Rattus norvegicus: one gene and its partners. The main gene of each other region encodes a partner of the protein of the gene in region 3 in a complex. Links are inferred from orthologs where the notes say so. Each region holds a gene or a part of one and is shown on either strand. Other genes may lie near its edges. The genes, in order: Stk11, Cftr and Ywhaz.

What was found.
Region 1: the proteins of Ywhaz (region 3) and Stk11 are in contact, whole or in part, in a crystal structure (PDB 5WXN), measured with the Homo sapiens proteins. The link is inferred for Rattus norvegicus from reciprocal best matches to the Homo sapiens genes YWHAZ and STK11. Residues at the interface, in NP_001129171.1 of Homo sapiens: Asn42, Ser45, Val46, Lys49, Asn50, Arg56, Arg60, Phe117, Lys120, Arg127, Tyr128, His164, Pro165, Ile166, Gly169, Leu172, Asn173, Val176, Tyr179, Glu180, Asp213, Ile217, Leu220, Asn224, Leu227, Trp228; in NP_000446.1 of Homo sapiens: Trp332, Arg333, Ser334, Met335, Thr336, Val337, Val338, Pro339, Tyr340, Leu341.
Region 2: the proteins of Ywhaz (region 3) and Cftr are in contact, whole or in part, in a crystal structure (PDB 5D2D), measured with the Homo sapiens proteins. The link is inferred for Rattus norvegicus from reciprocal best matches to the Homo sapiens genes YWHAZ and CFTR. Residues at the interface, in NP_001129171.1 of Homo sapiens: Asn38, Arg41, Asn42, Ser45, Val46, Lys49, Arg56, Arg60, Glu113, Phe117, Lys120, Arg127, Tyr128, Glu131, His164, Pro165, Ile166, Gly169, Leu172, Asn173, Val176, Glu180, Ile217, Leu220, Asp223, Asn224, Thr226, Leu227, Trp228; in NP_000483.3 of Homo sapiens: Arg764, Arg765, Arg766, Gln767, Ser768, Val769, Leu770, Asn771, Leu772, Met773, Thr774.

What each region holds. Positions count from the first base shown.
Region 1 is NC_086025.1:10,236,118-10,246,647, reverse strand, and holds the start of Stk11 (serine/threonine-protein kinase STK11), read left to right. Parts: upstream 1-4,682; 5' UTR 4,683-5,504; coding exon 5,505-5,794; intron 5,795-10,530. UniProt on the Homo sapiens protein: Tumor suppressor serine/threonine-protein kinase that controls the activity of AMP-activated protein kinase (AMPK) family members, thereby playing a role in various processes such as cell metabolism, cell polarity, apoptosis and DNA damage response.
Region 2 is NC_086022.1:47,522,504-47,533,033, reverse strand, and holds the start of Cftr (cystic fibrosis transmembrane conductance regulator), read right to left. Parts: upstream 5,406-10,530; 5' UTR 5,379-5,405; coding exon of another isoform or gene 5,269-5,378; coding exon 5,216-5,268; intron 1-5,215. UniProt on the Homo sapiens protein: Epithelial ion channel that plays an important role in the regulation of epithelial ion and water transport and fluid homeostasis. Mediates the transport of chloride ions across the cell membrane.
Region 3 is NC_086025.1:69,826,494-69,836,322, reverse strand, and holds part of Ywhaz (14-3-3 protein zeta/delta), read left to right. Parts: intron 1-5,401; coding exon 5,402-5,525; intron 5,526-6,137; coding exon 6,138-6,301; intron 6,302-6,382; coding exon 6,383-6,478; intron 6,479-8,863; coding exon 8,864-8,923; 3' UTR 8,924-9,829.

The DNA of each region.
Region 1 (10,530 bases), about 60 Mb from region 3:
CTTCCAGAGGTCCTAGTTCAGTTCCCAGCAACCAGGTGGAGGCTCACAGCCATCTGTAATGGGATCCAATGCCCTCTTCTGGCCTGGAGGCTTACATGCAGGCAGAAATCTGTATATAAGAAATTTTTTTTTTTTATTCTTTTTTTCGGAGCTGGGGACCGAACCCAGGGCCTTGCGCTTCCTAGGTAAGCGCTCTACCACTGAGCTAAATCCCCAGCCCCTAAGAAATATTTTAAAAAAAAATGTGTGTACCACTACAGTCCAGAGAGTCTAGAGGTTTTCACCGGACAGTTTCCGGTGGGTGTTTTGGCTCAAATTATCCAAACATTTATTGGAGTGTCTTCTTTTTTCTTCTTGAGACACTCTTGCCCTCTGCAGTCCAAGCTTGCCTTGAAGTCAGAGAGCCACCTGCCTCTGTCCCCGCCTCTGCCTCCCAAGTGCTGGGGTTAAAGACTTGAACCACCACTTCTGGCCAAGTTTTTTTTTTTTTTTTTTTTTTTTTTTTTCCGGAGCTGGGGACTGAACCCAGGGCCTTGTGCTTCCTAGGCAAGCGCTCTACCACTGAGCTAAATCCCCAACCCAAGTTTTTATATATATTTTTAAAAAGATTTATTTATTATATATAAGTACACTGTAGCTATCCTCAGACACACCAGAAGAGGGCATCGGATCCCATTACAGATGGTTGTGAGCCACCATGTGGTTGCTGGAAATTGAACTCGGGACCTCTGGAAGAGCAGTCAGTGCTCTTAACCGCTGAGCCATCTCTCCAGCCCAGTTTTTATATTTTTATTTTTATGTTTTCCCCCCTCTTTAGAGACTTGTAATGGCTATTCCTGGTTGTCAACTTGACTATATCTGGAATAAACTAAAAATCCAGAATTGGAGGGCTCACCTGTGATCCAGACCTTGAGGCAGGAAGACACAAGTTTCTGACCTAATCTTGGCATGGAGAACTTGAGGCATAGTGGCCATGAAAAGCTTAGGTCCAGGCAAGGTGGTACACACCTTTAATCCCAGGAGACTGAGCAAGAGGATCTCTGAGTTCAAGGTCAGCCTGGGACAAAGGAAGTCCCAAGCATGGTGGTGCACACCTTAATCTGGGCCACACCTTCCGCCGGAGACCTACAGAAGGACATTGGAAGAAGGAAGACTCTTTTTACTTGCCAGCACATCTGTTGGAATCTACCAGCCTTGTGGGACTGAGAATTACTAGATCCTTGGACTCTGCTTCTCAGCTGACGATTGCTGGAGAGTTGGAGTACCCGTAAGTCCTCGTAACAGATTTCTGTATAGAGACATTTCAGAAGCTCTGTGGCTCTAGAGAACCTGACTAATGCAGACAAAGTATCACTATGTAGCCCAGGCTGGCCTGAACTCACTATGTAGTTGAGGATAGATCCAGATGACAGTACTGCTAGTGTGGTTTATGTGGTACCAGGGATGGAAGCAGGGATCCTGACCCGTCAAACTGTGCCCTACCCACTGAGCCGGCTGCAGGCTTGATGTGGAATCTGCAGGTTTTTTCTTCCTGGTGGCATTACCTCCCCCAGTGCCATTTCTTTTTTTTTTTATATCTTTTTTTTAATTTTTATTTATTTATTATATATGAGTACACTGTAGCTGCCTTCAGACACACCAGAAGAGGGCATCAGATATCGTTACAGATGGTTGTGAGCCACCATGTGGTCCCAGTGCCATTTCTGATGTGCTTCCATGGTCTGTAATCTGCTACTTCTGAGGGGAAAGTCATATTATTGAAGTGGTACTGAGTTCCCAAATTTATAAAGTAGCTGCACTACCAGAACTCACGGGTTCGGTTCCCGCTGGCCACAACTCTTTATAACTCCAGCTCCAGGGGATCTGAGGCCTCTGTGAGGTCCTGAATGTGATGCGTGTGCACGAACAGACACACACACACACACACACACACACACACACTCTCTCTCTCTCTCTCTCTCTCTCTCTCTCTCTCATATATGTACGTAAATACAATAAACCTCTAAATATATCTATGTCTCTGACCCAGAGTTCTCACCAGAGTGATGACTCTTCTTAGAGAATTCAGGGTAACATCTTGGTCAGGTGTGGCTGTCCCACTCCGGGAGCTCCAGGTTCAGAATGGGTGGGGACCAGGATGATGCTTATTGCCCCTAAAGCTCCCAGGATGCCTTAGTGTCTGTCAGGTGAAGGGTGTAGGTGTAGGTGTTTGAGACTTACTTATTCTAGGAAGCGCAAGGCCCTGGGTTCGGTCCCCAGCTCCGAAAAAAAAAAAAGAGACTTACTTATTGTTGCCATGCAATGGAAGGTGAAAATCCAGAGAGTCTCCCTGTGAGGAGCTGCTTGGGCTGCAGCTCTGGAGGTGGGGGAACGATATTCCCTCCAGCTGTTTCCTTCATCTTTGTCTCTCCTTCCTTTTTCGTGAAATTTTTTAAAAGATTTATTTATTTCATTTATGTGAGTACACACATATTTCAGACTCACTAGAAGAGGGCATCAGGTCTCATTACAGATGGTTGTGAGCCACCATGTGGTTGTCGGGATTCGAACTCAGGGCCTCTGGAAGAGCAGTCGATGCTCTTAACCGCTGAGCCATCTCTCCAGCGCTTTGTTAGTTTCTTAAGTTCAATTTTCATGTGTATGAGTGTTTTGACTGCATGTGTGTATGGCACCATGTGTCTTCTGAGGCCAGAGGAGGGTACTGAATCCAACAGAAGTGCATATGAGCCACCATGTGGCTTCTCTGAAAGAGCACCAGTGCTCCTCACCTCTGACCCTGCTCTGCTTTTTTTTCTGTTTGTCTAGCCTGTGTTTTCCCTCAACTTGTCTTCAGATCTGTTTCTCTGATCTTTTTTTCCTTAATTTATGTGCTAGCATGAGTCAGTTCTCCTTCCTCCATGTAAGTCCTGGGGTTTGAATGGAGGTCGGTTGAGCTTGACCACCAAGGCCTTTTGCCCACCCCTAGTGGCGTCTCTGTCCCTTATGTCTCCTTACTCCAGGACTGGCCTTCTGGCAGTCCACCCCGCCCCCTGGTGGCCTCAGAGGGAACCGTAGATTCACGGATCTATGGACCTTGTAACCCGCGTTTGAATAGTGTGTGGAGGGGAGTCGCGCAGGGTGAGCACTAGCCGTTCAATCATATCACAACCCTCATTTTCATACATGCAGTTAAAAAAGGACACGCCTATAAAAGTAAACAAGTTAAATTTTTATAGGAAAGTGACCAAAACCCAAACCACCCCAAAATACTGCAACACAGTTGAGATGAGGCCAGCGGCCACATCAATCTTACCCAGACATTTTTTTTTTCTTTTTTCTTTTTTTCGGAGCTGGGGACCGAACCCAGGGCCTTGCGCTTCCTAGGCAAGCGCTCTACCGCTGAGCTAAATCCCCAACCCAGACACCTTTTATTTTTTTTAAAAGATTTATTTATTTATCATATACAAGTACACTGTAGCTGTCTTCAGACATACCAGAAGAGGGTATCAGATCTCTTTACAGATGGTTGTGAGCCACCACGTGGTTGCTGGGAATTGAACTCAGGACCTCTGGAAGAGCAGTCCATGCTCTTAACCTCTGAGCCATCTCTCCAGCCCCCAGACACCTTTAAAAAAAAAGATTTTCTTATTTATTTTATGTATGTGAGTACACTGTCACTGTCTTCAGACACACCAGAAGAGGGCATCAGATCTCATTACAGATGAGATGCGAGCCACTATGTGGTTTCCGGGAATTGAACTCAGGACCCTTAGGAAAGCAGTCAGTGTTCTTAACCACTGAGCCACCTCTTCAGCCTACCCAGCCACTTTTTTTGACAACTGTTATTTAAAACTCTGTGTGTTGTGTGTGTACGCGCGCGCCTGCCACGGAGCGTTTAGGATCAGAGACAAACTGTGAGAGGCATTTCTTGCTGTCCACCTTGTGAATTTACGGGGTTCGAACTCATGCGGTCAGACTTGACGTCAATCGTACGCAGCCGCTGAGCCATCTCACCAGCCCAGCGGCTCTTATTTTGCACACGAAACGCTCCTCTCTATGGCACCAGCTTGGGTCTATCCCCACACTGATCTCAGTGGCTCCAGGTTCCGAAGTGTCAAATTTGGGCTACTATTTGACCTTTGACTCCGCCCCCAAGGCCGTTAAGAACAAGCAGTGGCTAGATCACTTTAGGTATCCAGGAGTCCCTTTCTTCCCCCCACCCCCACCCCCCGCACCATGCCTCCAGTCGCGGCTGTTCCCAGAGGACGTTGACGCGCGTGAACTCTAACCCGAGGCACGAAACTCCGAGGTCACCACCGGCAGCCCAGAGATTTCGCTGGCCAGTCGCACTTGCCGACGGGCGTCTAGGACAGCCACTTACAGATAAGATCCCGCCCACACACACCAACCAACTGCCGAGGGGCGGGGCTTGAAGCCACAGCCCACGGCCGCTCCCTTACAGTCACTTGCTTACTCCAACTCCCATTGACCGGCGTCTGAGACTACCAATGAGAATGTAGATCACGCCTTCACAAGTGGAACCCGAGCTGTCCAATGTCAGCTCGGGTGCCCACCCAGATCCAAATAGTCCAATCCGCGTTGGTGATTGCGGCGGGTTCGAGGGGTGGGGTTTAAAGCTACAGCCAACTGCCGCGCACGTCGGCTCCGCGAGGGGGCGTGTCCACCGTTGAGACGTGCGACGACGGCGCGGCGCAGGGCGGTAAACAAGATGGCGGCGGCGTGTCGGTCTAGGAAAGGGGAGGCGGCTCACAGCGCCCGCGAGTGAGGCGCGAGCCTCCGAGGGCGGTGTCGGCGTGGAGTTTTCTCTCGCGGACAGCATCTTTCTGCCTGAAGTTCGACTCCCCCCTCGCCGCTCCGGCCTCCTGCCTGTCACGCGGCGGCTAGGCGGCGAGGGGGACGCGCCGCCCCGGGTGGTTTTCTCCCCCCATTGGTCCCCCGAAGATTTCCTGTCCCGACTTCGTGCCCGCGACTTGTGGGTGTCCCGCGTCCGGGTGGAGTTTGCGCACCGAGAAGTCGTGGAACTAAGGGAACTAAGGGGCCGCGCGCGGCGTCGGCGCGGGCCGGACATGGACGGAGCGGACCGTCCTCGACGCGGCCGCCTGGGCCCCTGAGCGCGGGGCCCAAGTGGCGACCATGACCTAGCGGCCCGCGCGCCGCGACGGCGGACCGTCGCCTCCGTCGGAAGCAGCGTCCCCGGGGACCCGAATTAGGGGGACGCGAGGGTTGGGGGGGCTCATTGCTTTTTTTTTTTTTATTCTTATTTTCATTTTTTTTCTCCCTGAGCACCTAGAAGAAAAGGGGAAAATCAAAAGTGAAGAATTGGCGCCCAGGAAACGGACGTGGACCCGGTTGTGGGGACCGGGAGGGTTGTGGAGGTCGTTCCTTCCCCCCCCCCCATTCCTTTTTTTCCCCTTCTTGAACATTTGGAAGAAGCGGGTGGGGGAAATTTGAACTTGAAAAGAATTGGCGCTCCCGAAGGGGACGAGGACAAAGAGTGGGCCAGGATGGACGTGGCTGACCCCCAGCCGTTGGGCCTGTTCCCCGAGGGCGAGCTAATGTCGGTGGGCATGGACACCTTCATCCACCGCATCGACTCCACCGAGGTGATCTACCAGCCGCGCCGCAAGCGCGCCAAGCTCATCGGCAAGTACCTGATGGGGGACCTGCTCGGGGAGGGCTCGTACGGCAAGGTGAAGGAGGTGCTGGACTCCGAGACCTTATGCCGCAGGGCGGTCAAGATCCTCAAGAAGAAAAAGCTGCGCAGGATCCCCAATGGCGAGGCCAACGTCAAGAAGTAGGTGCCAAGGGCCTGGGGCCGACGTGGGTGCTGCTGCCTTGAACTCCTTGGGCAGCCCTTCCTCCACTTTTTGGCTCTTCACTTTCCTCTAACCTTCGTTCCCTTCTCTTTTCCTCCCCTTTCCTTTCACTATCTTATCTACCCAATCTCTCCCTGAGCGTCACCTCGGGGGTCTGTGTGCTGGGGCAGCCGGTAGGACTGTCCTAGCGGGAGGTCGTGTGGCCGACTGTGCCTCCAGCCCTCCTCTTTGGGCCAGGTCCTGGCTCAAGTCAGGCCTGCCTTCTTTGGCGGGCGTTGCCAGGCGGGTGGCTCGTTTGTTTACACAGAGGGAACCGGCAGGGCCAAAAATAATGGTGATTTGGGGTGAAAGGGGGTGGGTAGCCAGCCAGTGCTGGCCCGGGCCCCTGCAATATCCTGCCTAGTTGGCATTGCTGGGCCGTGGGGACTCTTTATCGCCTGCCCGGCTTGGCGGAACTTGGGAAACTTCACCTACCGGCTTCCGAGAAGGGGCCTTATCTTTGGGGCCTGCATTGGCGACGCGCTGTCAAACTGACCTTGCCTGTGGTCCTGTCCCAGGAAAGGCTGTCTGGCAGCTTCTTGCTTTTGCCAGCTGTGCACTGTTCTGAGTGGTACCCACAGGAAGGCAGGCAGATACTCAGGAACCGATGTGTGGACCCAGCGGTGGAGCCAGGCGGGTGGGGGGTGTCCTCAGGATCTGCTTTGCCTTTTTTTTTTTTTTAAATATTTATTTATTTATTTATTTCATGTATGTGTGTACACTGTAGCTGTCTTCAGACACACCAGAGAAGGGCATCAGATCCCATTACAGGTGGTTGTGAGTCACCATGTGGTTGCTGGGATTTGAACTCGGGACCTCTGGAAGAGCAGTCAGTGCTCCTAACCGCTGAGCCATCTCTCCAGCCCGACTTTTTTTTTTTTTTTTTTTTTCCGGAGCTGGGGACGGAACCCAGGGCCTTGTGCTCGCTAGGCAAGCGCTCTACCGCTGAGCTAGATCCCCAGCCCCCCTGCTTTGCCTTCTTTGTAGGAGTGGTCCTAGGTTAGTCTTGCACTGGGGAACCGTGGGGACCCAGCGTCAGGTGTGCCTTCAGTGAGTTCGGAGGCCTGAGCTGGGGAAAACCTGGTTGGAAAATTTGTCTGTAAGATGGAGGTGCCATAGGCTGCTCCTCTCTGGGTGGTGACTGCTGACCTCCCAGGCAAGTGGCCGCTTTGGGGAAGTACAGCAGTGACAGTGTGGGCTTAGAGAGACGCTGGACACAGCCCACTGGACGTCAGTAGGGTGCTATAAGGAGCCTGCACTGTTCCTCAAGCCAGGAGTTGGTCTGGGCAAATGGGTACATGCAGTCGTCATAGTGCTAGAGAGACTGAGGGAGGAACATTGCTTCTGTTTGTAGACCAGCCAGATGCATGGGAAAACTTGGTTTCATGAGGAAAACGGGTTGGTAGGATGCTCAGTAGGTAAGTGCCCCAAAGTCTGGAAGGTGAAAGCAGACCCAGCTCCTACAAGTTTGCTTTGACCTCCATATGTGTGCTGTGGCACACACACACGTACACACACATGGGCAGGAAAGATAAAAGCCAGGAGGAGAAACTGAGGCAAAAGCTTCGGACTGGCAAACTGCCCTGCTCTGAGGTCCTTGAATGGCAGGACACAAAGCCAGGTGTTTCTAGGGGAGTGCTGGTGTTACCCACTGCCTGAGTGACTCGTGCAGTGGGAACCCTAAGGTTGCGGGCACCTGCTGGTGTGCACAGAGCCACAGCATGGAAGGGGCAGCTTGGCGACAGCTGGTGCAGGCAGAAAGGCCCCTTTGTCTGTAGGAGCTTAATAGACTGCACTCATGTTGTCTCTCTCTTGTGGTGAAGTGTCTGGAACTTTCCAGCCAAGCCCCTGGGGTCCTGTCATCCAGTCTGCACACAGAGCTTTCTCCTCTCAGGACCAGTGGAGTAGTGTGGCGCCTTCGTTTCTGTGAAGGCTGAAGGGACCTGTGCACTTTGGTTCCTGTCACACACACACACACTCATCCACCCGTGAGAAGTAGCAAGATCTTTTTTTTTTTTTTTTAAGATTTATTCATTTATTCTATATGAGTACACTGTAGCTGTCTTCAGACACACCAGAGAAGGGCATCAGATCTCATTACAGATGGTTGTGAGCCACCATGTGGTTGCTGGGAATTGAACTCAGGACCTCTGGAGGAGTAGTCGGGTGCTCTTAACCGCTGAGCCATCTCTCCAGCCCCAAGATCTTTTTTTTTTAATGTTTATTTTTATTTTTTAATGTACGTTGCTGTTTTGCCTGCATAGACATCTGTGTCAGATTCCCTGGAACAGGAGTTAGAGACCGTTGTGAGCTGCTCTGTGGGAACTGAACCCAGGTCCTTGGAAGAGTAGCCAAGTCCTCTTGGCCGCTGATCCACCTCTCCAGCCTTAAGTAGCAAGTTCTTATACCAGCCAAGGGGAGAGCTGGAGTTGCTGCTGACCTGCTGGCTCTGCAGCTGTGGCTTTAACCCCACCCCCCTCAAGAGTGCTATGGTTGTTCTGCTCTGCCTTACCTGGGGAGGGGGGGCCGTGTGAACCCCCTGGGTGCATGGGCCTTGTTGCTTGTGCATAGACTTCTGAGATCCTCCAGATGGGACAAGTTGGAAAGCCACCCCAGAAGATGGCGGGTGAGGCTCTTCCAGCCTCGTGTCTGCATGCTGCAGTGGAAGGCACAGACCTAGGTGAGAACTGGCCACCTGACGCCCTCACCGTGACCCAGGAGAACGCTTTTGTACATTTGCTCTTTTTGTTTTTTGTTTCGTTTTTAAAAATTTACTTATTATATATAAGCACACTGTCCCTGTCTTCAGACACACCAGAAGAGGGCATCAGATCCCATTACAGATGGTTGTGAGTCATCATGTGGTTGCTGGGACTTGAACTCAGGACCTCTGGAAGAGCAGCCAGTGTGCTCTTACCCACTGAGCTCTCTCCAGCCTCGTTTGCTTCTTGTTTATGTTCTTGTTTTCTTGTATTTTTTGTTTTTTGTTGTTGATGTCTTCCTTTTTTAGATTTGTCCCTCACTCCTGGCACCCCCAGCCCCACCCCACCCCCACCTCCACCCCAGGCTGTGTAGCCCTGGCTGTCCTGGAGCTCACTCTGTAGCCCAGGCTGGCCTGGAACTTATAAGATATACTGCCTCCAGCGTGCTGGTGTGACAGGTGTCCGGCCACCACTGCCTAACCATTTGGATTTGCTTTTATGCATGTGTGCGTATAGAGGCTGGTGGTTGGGGATGCATGTGCCTGGGGAGGCCTGAAGAGCATCAGCTGCAGGAGCGGGACTTGGGAGCTGACTAACATGGTACTCGCAACTGAACCCAGGTTCTCTGCAAGAGCCAAAGACATTCTTAATCACCGAGCCATGTTTTGAGTCCTTAGAGATGTCTCATGTAGGCCAGGCTGGTCTCCAGCTTGCTATGTAGTTGTGGATGACCCAGTCAGTGTCTCCTGAGCAGTGGGCTGATGGCTGGGCACCATCATGTAAGGCATTTAGTTTTCTTCTGTAAGGCAGGGTCTTGTCGGAATGCTTGATCTTAAGCTCTGGGCCTCAAGCTTCCTCCTGCTCTGCACATGGGCTGAGGCCAGCCATGGCATCACCATTTGCTTGCTCTTTGCTAGTTGCAGGTTATGGATGGCCAGCTGTGCCTGCGTTCTTTCAGTCCACTAAGGTGGTGGCTCCTGCTGGCCCTCCAGTGGTTAGGGCTGAGGGCCCTGCTGCCAAAAGCTGGGTCCTGGCAGTATGGATCATGCTTAGTTGAGCTGCTTGTCCTTTACAATTTGTCTGGTCACCATCTCTCTTTGGGGACAGGGAGCACCTGCCTGGGCAGAGTGTCTGTGCTGGATGGCTACTGTTGCTGAGACAGTGCAGTCAGGGTGCTCAGCTGTTGGTTGTCACTGCCTGTCCCGATCTGCACCTGTCTGGGTTGCTGGGACCATGGGAGATGCTGGCAGCTATCCAGGGACAACTGGAGGCCATTCCATGGTGACTGCCTGGCTGTGTGATGTGGACTGTGCATAGTTGGGACGTTAGCGAGTTGTGGGAAACATAGCCAACAACCAGCTTCGTTGGTTTTCAGCCCTCAGCTCATAGAGCATCCAAAGCAGACTCGACAGCTGCTCATGCTGCCTGCCTGAGGGACAGTGCTGGGAGTCGACCCTGTGTGCCTGCATACATGTATGTGCATGTGGTATCCAGGGGGCAGCCTCAGGTGTCACTTCTCAGTCAGTGCCTGGGACCTGGAACCTGTCACTAGACAGGTGACAGGACTCACAGGTGTGCAGCAGCAGTCAGATTATTTTTTTTTTTTGGTTCTTTTTTTCGGAGCTGGGGACCGAACCCAGGGCCTTGCGCTTCCTAGGCAAGCGCTCTACCACTGAGCTAAACCCCCAGCCCCAGCAGTCAGATTTTTATGGTGTTGGGAGATGAGACTCAGGTTCTCACGCATGCTTGCAGAGATTTCCTGTCTCTGCAGTCTCCTGTCAGCTGGTTTCCTTGGCAGGGAATTGGTGCTTCCATGAGTGACCCATGTTGTTCCACAGACCCTTGCCAAGCAGCCAGTGCACTGAACTGGGGTAGGGTGGAGCGCTAGCATCTGCTGTGCAGGCAGAGTTCGGGACTCTGCGTGGGCCACACTTTCCCAGTGCCAGGCAGGTGGCTGTCACTGAGCTTTGCCA
Region 2 (10,530 bases), on a different chromosome or scaffold from region 3:
TCAAACCAGATATACTCAAACTAATAGAAGAAAAAGTGGGGAAGCATCTCGAACACATGGGCACTGGAGAAAATTTCCTGAACAAAACACCAATGGCTTATGCTCTAAGATCAAGAATCGACAAATGGGATCTCATAAAACTGCAAAGCTTCTGTAAGGCAAAGGACACTGTGGTTAGGACAAAACGGCAACCAACAGATTGGGAAAAGATCTTTACCAATCCTACAATAGATAGAGGCCTTATATCCAAAATATACAAAGAACTCAAGAAGTTAGACCGCAGGGAGACAAATAACCCTATTAAAAATGGGGTTCAGAGGTAAACAAAGAATTCACAGCTGAGGAATGCTGAATGGCTGAGAAACACCTAAAGAAATGTTCAACATCTTTAGTCATAAGGGAAATGCAAATCAAAACAACCCTGAGATTTCACCTCACACCAATCAGAATGGCTAAGATCAAAAACTCATTTGACAGCAAATGCTGGTGAGGATGTGGAGAAAGAGGAACACTCCTCCATTGTTCGTGAGATTGCAGACTGGTACAACCATTCTGGAAATCAGTCTGGAGGTTCCTCAGAAAATTGGACACTGAACTACCTGAGGACCCAGCTATACCTCTCTTGGGCATACAACCCAAAAGATGCCCCAACAAATAACAAAGACACGTGCTTCACTATGCTCATAGCAGCCTTATTTATAATAGCGAGAAGCTGGAAAGACCCCAGATGCCCTTCAACACAGGAATCGATACAGAAAATGTGGTACATCTACATAATGGAATATTACTCAGCTATCAAAAAAATGACTTTATGAAATTCATAGGCAAATGGAGGGTTCTGGAAAATATCATCCTGAGTGAGGTAACCCAATCTCAGAAAAACACACATGGCATGCACTCATTGATAAGTGGCTATTAGCCCAAATGTTTGAATTGCCCTAGGTGCACAGAATACATGAAACTCAAGACGGATGATCAAAATGCGAATGCTTCACTCCTTCTTTAAAAGGGGACCAAGCATACCCTTGGCAGGGAATAGGGAGGCAAAGATTAAAACAGAGGCAGAAGGAACACCCATTCAGAGCCTGCCCCACATGTGGCCCATACATATACAGCCACCCAATTAGACAAGATGGGTGAAGTAAAGAAGTGCAGGCCGACAGGAGCCGGATGTAGATTTCTCCTGAGTGACACAGCCACAATACAGCAAATACATATGTGAATGCCAACAGCAAACCACTGGCCTAAGCACGGGACCCCCGTTGAAGGAATCAGAGAAAGGCCTGGAAGAGCTTGAAGGGGCTGGAGACCCCATATGAACAACAATGCCAACCAACCAGAGCTTCCAGGGACTAAGCCACTACCCAAAGGCTATACATGGACTGACCCTGGGCTCCAACTGCATAGGCAGCAATGAATAGCCTAGTATGAGCACCAGTGTAAGGGGAAGCCCTTGGTCCAGCTAAGAGTGAACCTCCAGTGAACGTGATTGTTGGGGGGAGGGCGGTAATGGGGGAAGGATGGGGAGGGGAACACCCATATAGAAGGGTAGGGGGAGGTGTTAGGGGGATGTTGGCCCAGAAACTAGGAAAGGGAATAACAATCGAAATATAAATAGGAAATACTAATTAATTAAAAAGAAATACTCAAGTTAATAAAGATAAAAAAATGTTTCAACATTTGCTCCCCCTCCTATTTTATCAGAATGATTGTCCCATCATTTTAAGGGAATGTTAAATATCATCAATATGCAATACACATATATCTGTAGAGTTGATCACAATGAAGTCAATTTCAACAAGAAACAGTTATTAGAATCATGTAATCCTGGATTCCTGAAATGTGCTGAATACTAAACACAAAAGTAGTTTACAATTTCAAATAGCCGTCAACATCAAAAAATGATTAATTAATGGGCTATATAGAAATTGACCATTTGAAATTGACAAGCCTCATCTGAACTATTATAGTATTCTTCCGAAAAGCCTAAGTTCTCTGATAATCAAGCCCATGAAAAAGCCACTTTGTAATGCTGATTTTACACAGAGAAACCTACATGCTGCATTGATTCCATTCTTAAGAGCTGAAGGGAAGTGGCTAAAACACTGTTTCACACAGTGATGATGAACAATGTATTTATGAAATCCCTCTGTCAGTATCTCCAAACAAGTGGACCTCTTTCATAGTTTTTCCCTCTTAAACTCACTGCTTTGCAGGTACTTTGCTCTGAGGAAATGTACAAGATGCACGGGGAAGAGAGGATCAAAATGGCCCAAATTGCTGCTGACTCAGAGGTGTTTTTAAAGTCTCAACAAATAATGTCTAACTGCATGTTAAATGGTTAACGCCCTTCCCTTATGGTTTGGCAATCCTATACTTATCTATAGTTCTACCACAGTGAAATTACAGGTTCCTATAAAAGGACATTAACGGTAATAATATACTTTATGGTGATATTTATTTGTAGACCTCTTAAACAAGTTTTAACATTTAGGAATTATCACAGTAAGTCCAACTTCCATAAAGAAAACAAAAAGCCTTGACTTCCCCTGTGTATCAGTGTGTACTGAGTACTATTTCATTGCTACATCAAACAACATGTTGATGAAGTTATTTTAAAATAATTATAGCTTCCTCTGCTCTGAGGAGCAATGGATTGACTATTAAAAGTATATTGTGTATTAACGTGCTATAAAACCTTGGAAGAGATTTTAATAATTGTGATATCAACTAAAATAAATTTCACTGTATAGGGATATTTATTACACATACACACCCATATATACTACATACACAAAATGACAATTTCATCATGTTGTGTACAAGTGGTACTCTTAGAACTGTGCATTAAACTAAACAAAATTAACAAAAACCTAACATAAATCCCAAGTTGAAAATTCTAAGCTTTGTAATATTCAAACATGATCAGTGAAAAATAAACAGGAGTCCTAAGGGACTGGTACAGAGCTAACATTGGGCAGTGCTTGCCCACTGTCGAAACAGAGGGTCTCCATCCTAGATGTGGATTCTTCCAATTCTATCAAAGAAAAGCCAAATGATAGCATGGAACTCTGGAGCTGTAGCCACTGGATGGCATCCATCAACTAAACGGACAGCTATCCTGAGTTTTCTAAATACCATATCCTCAGTATATCAAAAGTGGCCTTTGGATTTGGATAACCTAAGTCTTAGCAAACGTAAGATAGTGTCTGTGCATGGATCAGAAAGAGAATGGAAATGTTGCTACCTAACTTGTTGAAACTGTTTATAGCTCAGTCAGTAAAGTAACATGCTTCCCAAGTATGAAAAGCTGAGTTCAATCCCAAGCACACATATGAGAAGGTGGGCAAGGTGACGACACATGATTACAATCTCATTGCTGCCAAGGCAAAGACAGTAACACTCCTTGGGTTCGCTGACAAGTTTGTCTAACAACTGGTGAAATTCAGGCCAATGAGAGACATGTCTCAAAGGAGATGATGGCTCTTCTGAGGATATCTTATACTGCACTCTGTGGGCATAAAAGCAAGCATGTGCATGTGCATGTGCATGTTCATGTGTGTACGCACACATGCATATGCTAACAGATACACAACAGGCATGATCTTTTTCTTAAAGCTATATGAAAATGCAAAGTTTCCAGAGCCCACTGCCCTGGACACTAAGCACACTGCCTAATCCAGTGGAGAAAAGGTTTTCACCCTTTGAAAAGTATAGTCCAGAAGGAAGTTTATAATCACTGACTGGTACTTAGCTAAATGTCAGCTCCTATAAATAGGAGGAACTAAACTCTTAAAAACACACCTATTCTTAAAGCAACTGATTATGAAATCATTTGGAGAACAGAAATGAGTATGTTCTTAACAAATTTCACAGCCATTATAATACATTTCCTTTCCAAATCTGCCTAAGAACATTTGTAAAGCACACTAAAATGTATTAGGTGGATTATAAAAACGGGAAATTTTTGAAACACTTTGATAAGTGAAAAATTTTGAAGTTTCTTAATACTTAGTGGGGGAAACACACAAGAGATATTCATTCTTCAGAAAACTTGCCTTTTCAGGCAGATTGACATTTAAGTTCCTCAATAAGCTCTGGTGAAAGTCTAAAGTTTATGTCAATTGACAATCTGATATTGTAAGTAGTAAGAAATTAGATCCAGGCTGATAAGCTAAATTTATAGACGAAGTAAGAAAAGGCACTACAAATATCCACTCTAAAGAGTAAAGAGGGACCTTCTCTCCCATCCACTGGGAGGAGCTCTCCTGTAGAAGCACTTGCCTCCCCTCAGTCCTGAGCTCTAGACCTGCAGAAAAAGGACTGAAGGCTGAGCCTTGCCTCGTACCCACACCACAGGGCACATTTAGAACATATTCCACATTTATGATACTTTAGTGTGCTGATTCACTGGGGGTGGGGTTGAGCCAGCTAAGGACCCATGAGAGAGCTGTTCTCTTCATTCATTCACACTACATGACTGAGTACAAGAAGCTCCACAGAGTACCTCATATACAAAGTGCTTAATACTTGCCTAGGTCTTCCAACTTCGATTCTAATTTTTTTTGGTAGGATAAGAGAACAATCTCCTAAGTATCAATTGAATATAGCGTCAGTGGCTAGAACCCTAGTCTCATATCCCCAGAGTAACTGAATTTTCAAATGCATTGCTTACAGTATTTCTTTCTAAAGTTAGGTATTTTAACTGACTTGCTCATTCTTAAAGAAGAATACTGTAACTGTACTAAGCATGTTAGTCTTACTCAATATTATAACAGCAAAAGTAAGTATAATTCCTTGATTTTTAAAAACCTGAGTCAATAAACGTTTTCCAAACACCTATTATATACAGGCGCGCCACCTGCAGACAAACTTTTCTGGGAGAAAACAATGGACCAATCTTAATGTTTTATTAAGTACATTTATGATGTATAACTGTTTTCAGGAAATTTAAAAAAATCTATTGCTCTGTTGCATATTTGGCTGTTGCAAGTCTGATTCCAGGTGCAAATATATATTTGTTCTCTGTTCCATCAGTTTTATTTCATTCTACAAAATACATAGTTCCTTTAAAGCAATGAATGACAACACACCTTTAAAGCAAAACAAAACTCAACAAAAATCTCTTCCTGTTTTCCCAAAGTCTGCCCGTATTTATTCCCTTCTCTGGCATGGGCACACGTGTCCCTGAAAGATCCTCTGGGCACCCTCTCACCTGAAGAAGAGTTTGGAGATAAAGCTGGCTTTCTCCAGAGGCGACTTCTGCATGATGTCTCCGTGGTGCACTAAGGTCTGTGTCCGGACAGGTTCAGGTTGGACTCGACTTCTGGATATCCAGGACCCGTTCAATGCTTTTGGCTCTTCCCTTTTACTCAGTCCTGAGGTGATGTCATTTGCTTCCAATTCCCCCCACCCACTCCGGTCCCACACACCTCCCCTTCCTTAGCCTTCTTCCCCCGCCTCCGCAGCCCAGGTTAAAGTCAGCACTGCCTAGCCCAGCCTCACAGTCACTGCTCTCCACGCCCCGCGTCCGCCCCGGGCCAGCGCTCCTTCCTCCAGCGCGCCCGCGCCTCCTGGCCCGCGCCTCCTTTACCTTGGCCTTTATTATCCGCGCCCGCCCTCCAGCGCCCCCCTCGTGCCTACCTTCACATGGTGGCCCCAGCAGTGGCTCAGACAGCGGGCCCGGGTAAACCATGGCCAATCTGCGGGACTTAGAATCCTTCTTACTTAGGAATAAAGACCAGTCACTGATTCCCTTAGCTTCCCGGAACCTTTCTCTTCCTTCTCCTTGTCCCTCTCTCTCCTCTCCCTCCTTCTCCTCCTTCCCCTCTCCTCCTCTTTCTCCTCCTTCACTTTTTTCTCTATCTCTTTCTCTCTCTCCTTCTCTTTGTCCTCCTTGATCTCTTTGTCCTCTTCCTCCCTCTTCTCTTCCCACTGCTCCCCTGCCTTCCTCTCTTTCTCCTCCCTCCTCTCTTTCTCCCCCTTCCTCTCTTTCTCTTCCTTCTCCAACTGAATCTTTCCCTTCACTTTGCTCTCCTTTTTCTTCTCTTTCTTCCTCCTTTCTTCCCCCTCCTCCTCCAGTTAACTTTTCCAGATCCATTTTGGAAAGGAGAGGAAAATGTGGCTCTTTGGTATCAAAGAGCACTCAAGAAGCTGCAAAGTTCCACCTCAGTAAGCCCTTCAAGAGCTGGACGAGACCTAAGCTCTGTTGACTGAAGGCTCCAGAGTAGACAAAGTGGCACAAACACCTATGAGGTGACACGCACATATGTCACAATTCCCTGATATGTCACAATTACAGCAAAAGTCCTACCAAGGAAAGGGAAGCCACTACTTTCCCGTATGAGCTACATGTGTATCATACATATATGTCACAATGCCCTGATATGTCATAACTTGACATATCAAAGTCCTCAAGGACAAAGGGAGCTACTCCTTTACCACTTCTCACTCAGGACCTGCTCAGTGTGGTGTGGTATTTCACCTTCAGAAGGCTTTTATGTGTGTGCTAGAGAATGACAAGAGGAGTCTAAACTAAATGACCCTCCTCTCATTTCCCCCTAGTTTTGTTAAGCAAAATATCTTGACTAAGACACTGAAAGGGACTCTGAGTCACTGAAGCAAAGGTGTCCTATTCACCTCAAGTTCTCTGAGAGAAAGTTCCCCAGGCTGTGGGCCTTCCTTCCCAGCTTTTGGTATGAGAAATGTGTGTCTAACACAAAACCCTGCTGGGCTATAAAGAGACAATACTTAAATAACTAAACCCTGCTGTGCCAAAGCAAGTGTAAATAGAGGTTTTTTTTCCTTTCATTGAAAATCGAACGTTCTTTTTATGCAGGCTGAGGCAGCACACATCTTTAACCCCAGAATTCAGCACTCAGGAGTCATAGGCAAGCAGAAGATCTCTGAGTTCAAGGCCAGTATGGTCTACAGAGCAAATTCCAGGACAGCCATGGCTACACAGAGAAACTCTGTCTTGAAAAACCAAAACCAAACAAACACAAAAAAAAAACAATTTTTTTCTCACACACTATATCCTGATTACTGTTTTTCCTCCCTCTACCCCTCCCAGTTCCTTCCCTCCTCCAGTTTCATCTGGATCATTCCCTTTCTGTCCATCATTAGGAAACAAACAGGCTTTTAAAGGACAATAATAAAATAAATAAGGTTAAGAAAACGTATTAGACTTAGACAAAACAAACAGAAAGGGGCCCAATAAAGGGCATAAGAAACAGAGACCAACTTGTTCAAACATTCAGGAATCCCACAAATACACTGAACTAGAAGCCATGATATACATACAGAGTATCTGGTGCAATCCCTCAACAGCCCCATGCTAGTTTCCCCAGTGTCTGTGAGTTCACATGACCTTGGGCATGTTGACTCAGAGGGCCTTGTTTGCATGGTTTTCTACCTTCTCTGGTCTATCCTTTTCTGCCCTCACTGCGGGGTTCCTAATCCCTGAAGGGAAGGGTTTGATAGGGCTATCCCACTAGGGCTGTTTGTTCCAAGGTTAGAGTTTGAGGGTTTTGAGGCCTGATTCTTGCCTCCCCACTATAAAAGCAAGGGAGTTTACTTATAAATTATCTGATTTTTAATTTGTGGACATCCAACTACAACACAAGTAAAACGTGTATTTCATAATACTTCTAAGACAAGAAAATACATTTAAATTAATGAATGATGTGGTCAAGAGGCCTACTTCCTGTATCTATACTAGCTTTTTTCCTTATCATGAAATAGTTGTAAAGACATTTAATTTAACAGCCAAACTTGATTTAAAGATAAAAAAATAGCAAAAAAGATAAAGTTTTTACAGATAGAAACTGCAGGAAGGCTTGTAGGCCTTCTAACCTGTCACTGTCAAGTGCTCTCCTTGCATTTTCCTCTCTCCATTATGACAAGAGAACTTGGAACTTGGTTCTCACTATTGACTTTTCCCATCCCTTTGACTGAACTTGATTTATCCTTCCCCACCCTCACCTGTTGTTTGTAAATGCTAGTGTGACCATCACAGATGATGCAGTTTCTGAAATGAATTTGTTATCAGTTCTTCCTTGTTTTCACCATCACATGACACTAAATGAAGAATTAAGTTTCAGAGATCATCAAAGCTGGCCAAACTGCATGACTCCAGGATATCTCAAGCTGCTTCCTCTTGAAAGGACAAGTGAAAAGTTATGAGTCCTTGCAGTTTCCAGGGACCTTCATCCAACAACCATGTTCATATATACTATTATGCCTATTTTGCCATTTCCAGGTAATGAAGCATTGGAGTAAATGTTGTTGGTAAATATTAGTGGATTCAAATTCAGATGTGATCCCAAACCTTCAGTCTCATCAGTGTGAAACATTAAGCAAATCTCCCACCATGTATTCCTGTTCTGCCACCAAACCTTTCTCCTCACATTAGTTTCATGAAGTCAAAACTTACACAGCTGTTCAATAAGATAGGAAAGCAGAAATCTACTGACCAAAAGGCCACGAGAGCTATATATCTTGAATAAATGTTATGTAAGTGGCATAATCCATTCTAGAGTATGTATACGTGAGCATAGGCAGGCCCTAGACTTTTATCATAAGGCATCACAGTCCAAACTTGTTTGGGCAGAAGATTTCAGCAAAGCAGACAAGTCTAAGTAAAATAAAGATATGATGTACATAATTTGTACCTAGGTACATGCCTGATACAAATGTGAAAATATATCAGAAAATACGTGCAGATATAGGTAAGATTGTGACTGAAGTTCTAAATGAGACTCTCAAAGGAAATCAACAGATCAGGATGAACATAAAAGGTGATACTAAGATATGATGATTTTTCTCTTCAAGATACTCAAATACTAATCATATCATCATATACCACTACAATAGCTTACATTCATTAGATATTTATCATATGTCATGAGTAAATTACAGGGTGAGATTTGGCTCTTAGGACATGTTCATGTACAGGTAACTAATACCCCATTCTGCAGAGGAAGAACCTGAAAAATAATGGTTTATTAATTCCCAAGTTAAGTTGCTTGGCTGATTGATAACAACACAGTGGCTTGGTGTGGTTCTCAGGACAGAGCATGGCATGGCTTGTCCCACATCCTCAGTCCTAGTCACAGTGTGATCAGCCAGTAATAATGAAAGAGCGAAATGGAAGGCGAAGCTAAGCAGTCTTTGTCTGCCCTGGGCCTTGATGATTGCACATCCATCTGCAGGACTGACTGGTGTTTTAGGAAGAGCTGTGCTTTAGTACAGATGAGTAATACTCACTCTCGTGGCATACCTTGAAGATACACTGAGAGGACTGCAAGAGGAAGCGAGGAAGGGTTGGTGAAAAGAAAGAAAAGAGGAAGAGGACAAAAGGAACCCATGTCTATTTGGCACCAACTACAGTGTGTGCCAGCCATGTGCCAGGCGCTTTCCACAAATGCCCTTAGCAATGTAAGCTTTCTGTCTATGCTTCTCTACTTGCTGGAAAATTGTCCACGTTTCCCCATTAGAGATCATAAGAGTGTGCTTACACTACATCCAACTCTGATCATCACATCCAACTTAGAGTATATCCGAATCTTTCCTGAGGGAGCTTTATCATAAATGGGTAGCAATCATGGATGCACTGAAATGTAGAAAGTAGAAGGATGAGAAAGTTCTTTCAGAGGAAGACAAGGCTCCCTAAAGAGAGAAGGCAGACCTCATTAGCCTCACATACACAGGATGGCTATGCTTAAAAACTTACCAAAGGTAGGAGGTAGGGGCAGTCTCAGCTCCTTCACACCTTGCCTCAAGGATCCCTCAGTGTGAATACATCATTGCAGACTTACAAAGCTGCTGCTTGGCCAGAGCGGATGCCCTGTTACAGAGCTAAGGCCAGTAGGGCATCCTCTACTTCCAACATCACATTTGGTCTGACAAATGTGTTTATAAACACTCATGAAAACACACACACACACACACACACACACACACACACACACAATCTGATATTCATATAGAACTTCCACAGAAATGGATACAAAAATAATGTCTTCTGGGGTATATTTTGTTTCTTTTTAACTCATTTTAAGTAATGCAGCAAGAACAACCAAGCAATCATTCTGTCTTGTAGTTACTGATCTAATAGATGAAACGACATCCTAAAGAGGGAATCTGAAGCTACTCAAGTATGAGTAGCTGCTGTTAAGCTTTCAGAAAATAGGAGCCTGATAGTATGGCTGATATACAGAATACGGTAATACTTCCATCGAGACAGAGAATTTACTCAGGGTTTTCAATTTTTCTTTAGAAACTGTACTAGAGTATATAAAAGTCATTTGAGTTTTAAGGCAACAAAAGCTAAGTTTGAAACCCACCAAACACTAAGCTGTGTGACTTTAGATAAGTCTCCTTTCTTTGTTTTTGGAGACAGACTTTCTCTGTGTAGCCCTGGCTCTCCTGGAACTCACAGAGGCCTCTGCCTCCCAAGTGCTAGGATTAAAGGCCTGAACCTCTTATGTAAAGTTTCTCTTCCCTCAGAATTAGATTAACTACTCCCAC
Region 3 (9,829 bases):
CTGTGTGAGCAGGAAGCCCCGAGTTCAGATGCCCAGCTCTTACTGAACTATAGTCCTCTCCTGGGGAGGCAGACCCACAGATTTCTGCCTCGCTGTACTGGGGTCCAGGTCTAATGACAGACCCTGTTCCAGAAAGAAGGAGGGAGGGAGGGAGGTAAAAGAAGGAAGGTGGAAGACAGCTAAAGTTGACCTCTTCCCTGTCTGCACACACAGGTCCATAATGGAAGCTTGGTAATGGGACCTTGTTTGTGAGGCCCAAGGTTATGCTGCTTGCAAAAGGGTCCTGGGGAGAGGGAAAAAACATGCTCAGGGGTGTCAGGGATTTGTCAACAACTGGTGAATTGGTGCCTGATTGTTATCTATATTGATTAGCAGTTACAGTTTGGGTGTGGCATTTGCCTGATGGTTGGTTAGTTATTTTGAGGCAGGCTCTCATTCTGTAGCCCAGGCTGGCCTTAAATAGAAATCCTACCTAAGTGCAAAGCTCCCCCAGGGTTGTTAAACAGTAGTTCCTCCCCATTCTGTTTTCCCCGAGTTACAGGGGTAATGCCTTCCTGAACAGATGATGGCAATGCTGTGCTGTCTCCCCTCTCCCAACTGGTCAAAGCAAAAAATGCATTCCATCAAGCATTAAATTTTGTAAAGATGGTTTGCTTATTAAATTTTTGGCATAGACTGCCATTTATGGTATTTTAGGGTGCAGCCCAAGGGATTATTAATGTATCAGCTCTCTTGTTGGTTTTAAGACATTAAATAAAGGTCTGCCATGTGCTTATTGCTGGGACTGCATTGGAGGTGATCACCCTCATCACTCTCCATATCCTCACATCCGCCCTTTAAAGGTAGCTGTGTCCATGTGACCTCACACACAACACTCAGTGTTGCCATAGGAAGCATCATTAGCATGTTTTGTGAGCACTTCACTAATTGGTTAGTTTGGAGCAACCCTGGTTACAATTTGGGAACAAGTGCCCCTTCAGCCACAAGGGGGAGTAAGAGACTAAACTCAGAAGCAGCAAGCCTGTTAAATTCATGGCTTAGCTTTCTGTTATATATTTTAAGAGAACTAGAAATGATGGTAAATTCTGTAGGTCTACAGAATAAAGTACTGGGGAAACTTTACGTGGGAAAGAATTGCCCAAGACTAGGAATGTGCACCATGTCCTCCTCTCTGGGGGTGTTTTGGTGTCATTGAGTGATGTGGCGATACACTAAAGTAGAGGAGTGGGTTTTGGAGTCACATTACAGTTGAGCTGCATTTTCAGAGTTTAGTTCATTAGTTTTAGGATCATTGTGAGGGTGCATGTAGCTGTGTGTATGACTAGTCTTGGATAGTGCACACTGGATTTGAAGTTGTAGTCCTGTCTCTACCTCCCAAGTGTTGGCACTTATGCCCAGATCTCTGTTTTTTGAAATAGGGTACAATTCATGCCAAAGCTCAGGCCAGTCTCACACTTGGCGCAGTCTTCCTCCCAAGTGCTAGGGCTATAGGCACAAGCACCAATCTGTTACCCTCCTGCAATTGATGCAGTGCTTGTTCTAAGTGTAGAAAGCGAGAGCTGTCTCCCCATGTTTACTCATGCATCACTGCTTCTGTGCTGCCTCTGGAATTTGAAATACATTTGCACCTAAACCACAGGACACTTCTTTACTGGAGTCAGTTTTCCTTCTTGGGGTGGGGGGTCTTAAGCATTAAAATCATGTCACCAGTCTTGGCACAAGGCCTTTAACCATCTTACCTGCTCTTAAATTTTTTAAGTATATTCGTGTTTTGTCCAAGTGTGTGTCCGTTCACTGAGTGGGTGCCTGGTGCCCTTGGAGGCCAAAGGAAGGTACTAGATCCCCTGGGGACTGGAGTTACAGATGGATGAGAACTGCCCTATGGGGAGCCTTGGCAGTCTGGAAGAGCGGCCAGCATTCTTAGGTACTGTGCCATCTCTCCAGCCTGTTTTTATGGTTTTAACCGGGAATCCAACCAAATTGTTTACTTACAGGTTTTTCTTAAATACGACATTGGACCACTGTTCTTATCAGATGGTTCCAGAATTCTGTTCCCTTACACCCTTGAATCACTGTCCTTTAGTTGGGCAGCTTTTCCATCTGCTTTTCATGGTTTTGGTCTTTCCCCCGTTTCCTGGTACACTGTCCTTTGATTTGGTTTACTTTTGTAATTCTTAGTTAGATACTTCAGGCTTTCTTAAAGTCAGAGGAGGAAATGTACTCTCAAATATCTAGGAAATCTGAAGGTTGATGATAGATTGGGGAACACTTAGCATATTGGGGACCACTTAGCATATTGGGGACACTTCTGGGATTAAAATGGAAAGCAAACTGAAGTTAATGTTGCAGTGAAACCGGGTGAGTGAAGAGTGATCCTTGTACTGCCTCAATGGCCAGTTCTCACTGGCCTTTGTTGCTCTAGAGTGAGTTCCCTTGGCTCAGGCAGGTGGGCAGACACTGCTCTGTGGCTGCTGCTCCTATCACGGGTGCTTGCCCGGCACCGCGTGTGTGTCGTCCTGGCGAGCACTCAGCATCAGAAACACAGATTTTTTTTTTTTTTGTCTTAGGAAACTACTAATTATCTGATAGTGTCAGCCTTAGTTTATATTGTATCTTAATTGTCTAAAAGTTAAATAGTGAGCTTCGTTTATTTTTATATTTGAGAAGTGGGTCTTTAAGGCACTAAGGTCATAAAAATTGTTCTACTGAAGGTTGTTGTAAAATTCTCTTTTTATTTAAAGTAGGCTGTTGAAAGTATGCATTCATTGTAATTCAGTCAGAACTTTATTTGAGCATCTTAGAAGCAGGCAGCATAATGGATTTGGGGGTTTGTTATTGTTGTGTAGCTTATAAGATTAAAAACCATGAGGTCCTACTACCATAACTACTGTAGGACTGGGGCATGATCACTTAAGCCCATGAATTCCGGTTTACACCTGGACAGTATTGAGGTTGTAGCTCGAGAAACAAAATTGACTGTGTGAAAGTGAAAAGGTGTAAAATTGTTTTAATAATTGTACCTACTCCAAGAGAAAAAACAAACTCAGCCCTGCCATTTTCTCTACCTTGCAGTCTATTCTGTATTTATGTTCAGTGTTCACTAGTCCCTGGCGACCAAAGAAAGGATAAGTCCTTGTTCTCCTCAAACTAAAACCTTTAGAAGTAGACACGATGTAAGTGGAACTCATGCGCTTATTTAAAAAAATAGGTTTAGGAAGAATATGTTAGTATTGAAAAGTATTTTAGTACAAATTATTTCCTGTTCTTTTTGAAGAGGGTGGACAGTATAAACAGTTGCTGTATTTTAAGGTGAGCAGTGTATAGTGCGTTTCTACAAAGTTACAGGCATTAACAGTGATGTGCCCGCACTTGGGAGTCATTCTTCACTCGTCATCCTGTGCAGCCATAACTCTTTCCAGTCAAAGCAATCAGCATTATTGTCTACTGTCTTCTTGTTTTCTGTGTGGGCTGTTTTGTTTTTTATGCATGTGGTTACACCATGTACATGCCTGGTGGACAAGGGTGACAAGGGTGGCCAGATTCCCCTAAAACACAAGTTGCAAAAGTTAAGGAGCTGCCATGTGGGTTCTGGGAATTGAGCTTGGGTCCTCTGGAAGAGCTTCCTGACTGCCAAGCTGAGCTCTTGCTATCCTCACTGCTGTTTTGAACATCAGCACTTACTGTCCAAAAATAACAGCTAAACTTCCTTATCAGGAAGCAAGACAAGGCAGGATTCATTGAATCCTTTACTGCTATGTGCTCACAGTTTTTAAATAAAAAAGATTGTATAGTCCTTGGAACTAGGAAGTTACTGTAACCCCTGTGTTGACGGCTTTTTCTGTAAGGAAGATGGGGAGATGCTGCTGTCACTGACATGAGTAGATTCCCAGGCCCCATACATGTGGTGGACCTGTTATAAGTTGAAAGTGACTTTTTCAGATGTTTTTGGCTGCTGTTGGTTTAAATGAAAAACTCATGGTTCTGGAAGCCTGTGATTATCCCCAGAAAATGTGGGTGTGCATCCAACTAGATGGTTTTGTTCATGGGGTCCTTTTAAGAGAGGTTTAGACATTGTGGTTACTTGGTTGGCACTCTGAAAATTAATGAAGTGAGTCACTTCAGTGTTGAGGCTGAGGGATTGCTGTTGGGTCTGTTCCTGCAATCTTCAGTAAGGTGGGGGGGTTGGTTTGGTTTGGTTTTTCAGAGGTCTCTGTAGCTCTGATTGTCCTGACACTTGGCTCTAGCTACACTCACCTGGAGCTCACGAACTGGCTCCTCTGCTTCTCCAGTGCTAGATTAAAGATGTGTGGCCACAGCCCTGCTCAGCGTGGTTTCTAGGAATACAGAAATTACTGATAAAAAGTAGGTTGCTAATTCCCACTAACATTTATCAATACTGCCTAAAGGAGTTTCTGTCATAACTTTAGGTTTTTACATTGCACCCTCCACACACTCAAGTTGATTCTGTGGCTTTGCTGGGCCAGTGCAAGGTCACTGAGACACGTTTCTAGCCCTTTGGGTAGTGTGTTATTGTTGGGGGGGGGTTGTTTTTAGAGGCAGGGTCTCTCCATGAGTAGTACAATCTATGCTTGAACTCAGAATGCTTCTGTGTTGCCTTTAAGTGATGAGATTACAAAGGTGCCCACGCCAGCTGCCAATCATGTACTTTATGAGGGGTGGTCACTCAGTTAACTGTATCTTTATGACCTGTCTACATTCATAGAGTAGGCAGCAGGATTCAAGTGTATTCACTTATGTCCCCCATCATTAGATAATAGATACTCAAATCTTTTCAGAGAATAAAAACCAGAATCTAAGTACTCTTGGAAGAATTGGCTCATCTGGGGTTCAGCCCAGATGAGCAGGAACATCACCTTGATTTCAAAGCAGAGGTATCCAAGGGAGTGGGTATGGTAAGAGACTGGTTTGTTTTTAAATTCACTCAGTTCTACCTTTTTCTCTCCAATGCAGTTACATCATCTACTTGAAATTAGCTATAAAAGGTTGGTTTTATTTGGTGTGTGACAATTCCAGTAAGCTTTAAGTTGTTAATAGTTTTAAGCAAAGCTACAGGATGAAATTTTACCATTTGTGATGATCTGTAGATAAGACCAATTGCTATGCTGAAATTAACAAGTGTTTTTTTTTCATCTGGCCTTTCCCTGCCTTGAGTTGCTTATTGATTTACTACACTTTTGAGACAGCATTGGTTTGCAGTCGAGCTTGGTCCTCATCCACCACAGTCCTCCTGCACCAGCACTCTAGAATGCTGTGCTGTTAGAAAAACTAAGGTTTTGTTTTGAAATCTTTTACAACTGAGTCTATAGTGTTTGCTTAAGAAAAATACTTTACTTTGATTTGTAAGTATTGTCTTAATATTTCTGTTTCTTTTCTTCTGAAGTCTCTTTTGGAAAAGTTCTTGATCCCCAATGCTTCGCAGCCAGAAAGCAAAGTCTTCTATTTGAAAATGAAGGGTGACTACTACCGCTACTTGGCTGAGGTTGCTGCTGGTGATGACAAGAAAGGTGAGCTGGTTTTGCTTGGTTGAGCTTATATACATCTTCTTTTCTGTTATGTTACTTAGAGAACTGAGCACTCTTTCTTTTTGTCTTGTGTTTTTGCCTGTTAGTATTTTGAACTTGAAGCTTTCTGAAAAGCTGTTTGTATAAGAATGTCTCCTCGATGTTAACAGAGGTTAACCTCAGAGTAGAATGAGGAAATCACAAGATGGTGATCAGATGGATGTGTGTATGAGTGTTTGCCTGCATGTGTTTGGGCACATGTGTCCGATACTGTTGTAGGTCAGAGCAGCGCGATTGGATCCCCCGGAATTGCAGTTACAGACTGTTGTAAGCTGTCCCTAGGGTGCTGGGAATCAAACCAGACTGGGAAAAGTAGCCAGTGTTCTTTGCCTCAGAGTTATCATTTCAACTCAGCTCCACTCTGAGTTGCTTTTCTCTTGACAACAGCGAGTGACTAGTGTGATCCAGGACAGCATTGTTTGTTTTAAAGAGTATAATTTGGATAAGACTGTCAGAGCGTATATTTCAGAGGACACATGCAATCTTAAATGAAAAGTTTGGCTTAAGCTGCAGCATAGAATTTGAAAGTCCATTTCACTGTGTTGCATTATCTAGGAATTGTGGACCAGTCACAGCAAGCATACCAAGAAGCATTTGAAATCAGCAAAAAGGAGATGCAGCCGACACACCCCATCAGACTGGGTCTGGCCCTCAACTTCTCTGTGTTCTACTATGAGATCCTGAACTCCCCAGAGAAAGCCTGCTCTCTTGCAAAAACAGTATGTATTTTACCTGTTACTTGGGAATTGGGCAGTGTTCATTATTTGAATTCTAAGGTGTACTTTGTTTTGCATTTGTAGGCTTTTGATGAAGCCATTGCTGAACTTGATACATTAAGTGAAGAGTCGTACAAAGACAGCACGCTAATAATGCAGTTACTGAGAGACAACTTGACAGTGAGTACCTAAGACAGTCTGAAGGGTGTGGCCAGATAACTGAATATAGCGTCCTATCTACTGTTTACAAGCTTACCAAGAAGAAAACTACCTTATTGAGAACATTGCCAGTACTTATGAGAGATAGATACCTTTTGGGCTTAACTTATCCTAAGTTACTCCTTTCTGTTTCAAGTCTTGAGTAGTTTCATTTTTTTCACCCCAGAGTCAGTCATGTGCTTACTCAGCAGAAGTATCCAGGTTTCTTGTGGTGGAGGAAGAATCATGAGTTAGTTACAGGCTAGCCTGGACTACTTAGTGACAAGCTTGCCTAGGCTACATGACAAGATTCTATCTCCAAAAAACAAAAACCCAACAACAAAAAAAGTAAACTTGCTACTATTGGTGTCTAACTTGTCTTTGAAGTTGGTTTTCTTGTCCTTTAGTGTTGTGCATGTTTGGTGGGAACAAGTGCACCCCTTGCTTGCCTGGTCTCTAGCCCAGGGAAAGGTGGGGTTGATGCTCTGCTGTGCTGAAGGTTTGAACATGAACCCCATATATACCATTGTCTTAACCAAACTAAAACAACAGTTCTTGAAAATTCATTTAAATGGTTATTTATTATTTAAATAGGATCCCAATAAAGCCATGCTTATGGTTGGCTTCTTGGGTTTTTCCTTCTTCAGATGAGTAGTAATTTGAAGTTTTGAGGCTTGGGTGAAAAAGTTACCCAGCATTTGCTGTGTTTCGGGGAAAAGGTAGAAATGAGTGTCTCTGGTCTATGGGCTACTTTTCTGTGTGTGTTCAATTTGTCTAAGAGACTTGTCCATTCTTTATGTGTTTTACTTCCTGTTAAAGTCTGTAGCTAAAATTATTTTACTAACTCTAACTGGGGTTGTCTACAAACTTAAGAGACTTAAAAATAAGCAAGGGTTAATATGGAATTGACTTGCTGTGCATGCTGGAGGTGGGATTTGGGCCTTCTATACACTAGGTGAATACCACTGAGCTGCATCCTGCCCAAAGGAAAGAAAAGACGTCAAATATGAAGCACTTGATTCGTTAGCTAATTTCTAATTGTAAGAATATATGGGGGGGGGTGAGTGTAGCTGTTGGAAAAGTGCTTACCTGCGGTGTGTAAGACCTTGATTATGGTCCTCAGTAAGCTAAAAATTTATTTTACTTGCTGAGCATGGTGACACACAGCTGTTATTTTAGTTGGTGGGAAGCTTAGGCAGGAGAAATACAAATTCTAGGCAAAGCAAGAAGAAAACTAGCACTAAGTCTTACATGTTGTCTAGGCTTGCGTTGAAGTGATGAGGTGGTATTTAAAGTAGACCTTAGGCCTAGGTGTGTCACTACTTTTAGGGGCTCCTGATTGAATGCTCCTCTCATCCATTGGAATTATGGGGTGAGTGCAGGAAAGAGTGTCCTAAGCAGAGTGAGAAGGTCAAGGAGCAGCTCTGCCCTGAGCCTTGTTAGACTGCTGTTGACAGCGTGACACCCAGCTGACACAGCCAGTGCCTCACAAGAGACTATCCTGATTGTAGTGTGTAAGGTTTATACACAAAATGTAAAACCATTAAAGGACAAGGAGGGAACAGACAGGAGACTGTTGTCCTATTCGTAAGCACACAGTCTGGAAGAAGATACCTGGCCAGCTATGTGTGACTTTGAGTCTGTTCTAGGCCAAGTGTGGAAGGTGATTTGGGGAGAATATATTAGGTTAGAGGGTAGATTCCTTTTTTCTCCTTTTTAAGTTTGGCTTAAAATATTTTACCTGGAAACAGTTGGGACTATTTAGAACTGTATTAGCTTATTGAAACACTATAACAGTAATGAGAAGTTAATAATGAAAACCATAATCCTGCCATCCTACGACACCTTTCTTCTTTTTGGTAGAATATTTGCTTCTGTCCATAACATTTGTTAGGTTTGTTTTGGGTCTGGGACATTGTCAGGAGAGGCCAGCTCACCCAGCTCCAAGAGTGAGATCTTTCTGGAAAACACTCTAAAAACCATTGGCATTAGAGCTTTGGTTTTACATATTTGAGAGTCAGAAGTGAGAGGACTGGCTGGCTCTGCATTAGGCTCTACGGTGGGTTTGGGGCTGAGGCTGGGCAAGCCATTTATGGCTTAGTGACTAAGCCACCTTGTCTAAAAGACTGAGATTTCCACTTCCTGCCCATTAGTTACTTAAATCTGTTCTGTTGAAAGACAGACAGATGTGCTGTGTATCTGCCATTCCCCGGGTCAGGCTGTCCTTCAGTGATGCCCCAAGCTTTCTGACTAAAGCATGTAGTCACAGGCCAGACCCACCCTTAACATGTGTACAGAAGGTTGGATGCTGGTTTTGTTTCTCCATCTGAAGTATGCTGAAAAAAATCTTTTCCCTTTCTTTACCAGTTGTGGACATCGGATACCCAAGGAGACGAAGCAGAAGCGGGAGAAGGAGGGGAAAATTAACCGGCCTTCCAACCTTTGTCTGCCTCATTCTAAAATTTACACAGTAGACCATTTGTCATCCATGCTGTCCCACAGATAGTTTTTTTGTTTACGATTTATGACAGGTTTATGTTACTTCTATTTGAATTTCTATATTTCCCATGTGGTTTTATGTTTTAATATTAGGGGAGTAGAGCCAGTTAACTTTAGGGAGTTACTCGTTTTCATCTTGAGGTGGCCAATATGGGATGTGGAATTTTTACATGAGTTACACATGTTTGGCATAGTTAGTACTTTTGGTCCATTGTGGCTTCAGAAGGGCCAGTGTTCAAACTGCTTCCATGTCTAAGCAAAGAAAACTGCCTACATATTGGTGTGTGCTGGCGGGGAATAAACAGGATAATGGGTCCAGTCATGAGTGTAGTCTGTGTGGGTACTGTAAGGCTTGGAGCACTTGTGAGGCTGGGACACGAACACCCTGTGGATGCACGCTAAGACCGTGTGTCTGCGTGCACACCCTTGACCACAGCTCCAGAAGTTGTCTGTAGACAAAGTTGTGACCCAATTTACTCTGATAAGGGCAGAAACGGTTCACATTCCATTATTTGTAAAGTTACCTGCTGTTTGCTTTCATTATTTTTGCTACACATTTTATTTGTATTTAAATGTTTTAGGCAATCTAAGAACAAATGTAAAAGTAAAGATGCAGTACAAACGAGTTGCTTGGTGTTCCCGGCTCCATGCGGATCAAGCACAGCGGTAAACAAAATCCCATGTATTTAACTTTTTTTTTTAAGTTTTTTGTTTTGTTTTGTTTTTGCTTTTGTGATTTTTTTTCTCTTTTTGATACTTGCCTAACATGCATGTGCTGTAAAAATAGTTAACAGGGAAATAACTTGAGATGACGGCTAGCTTTGTTTTAATGTC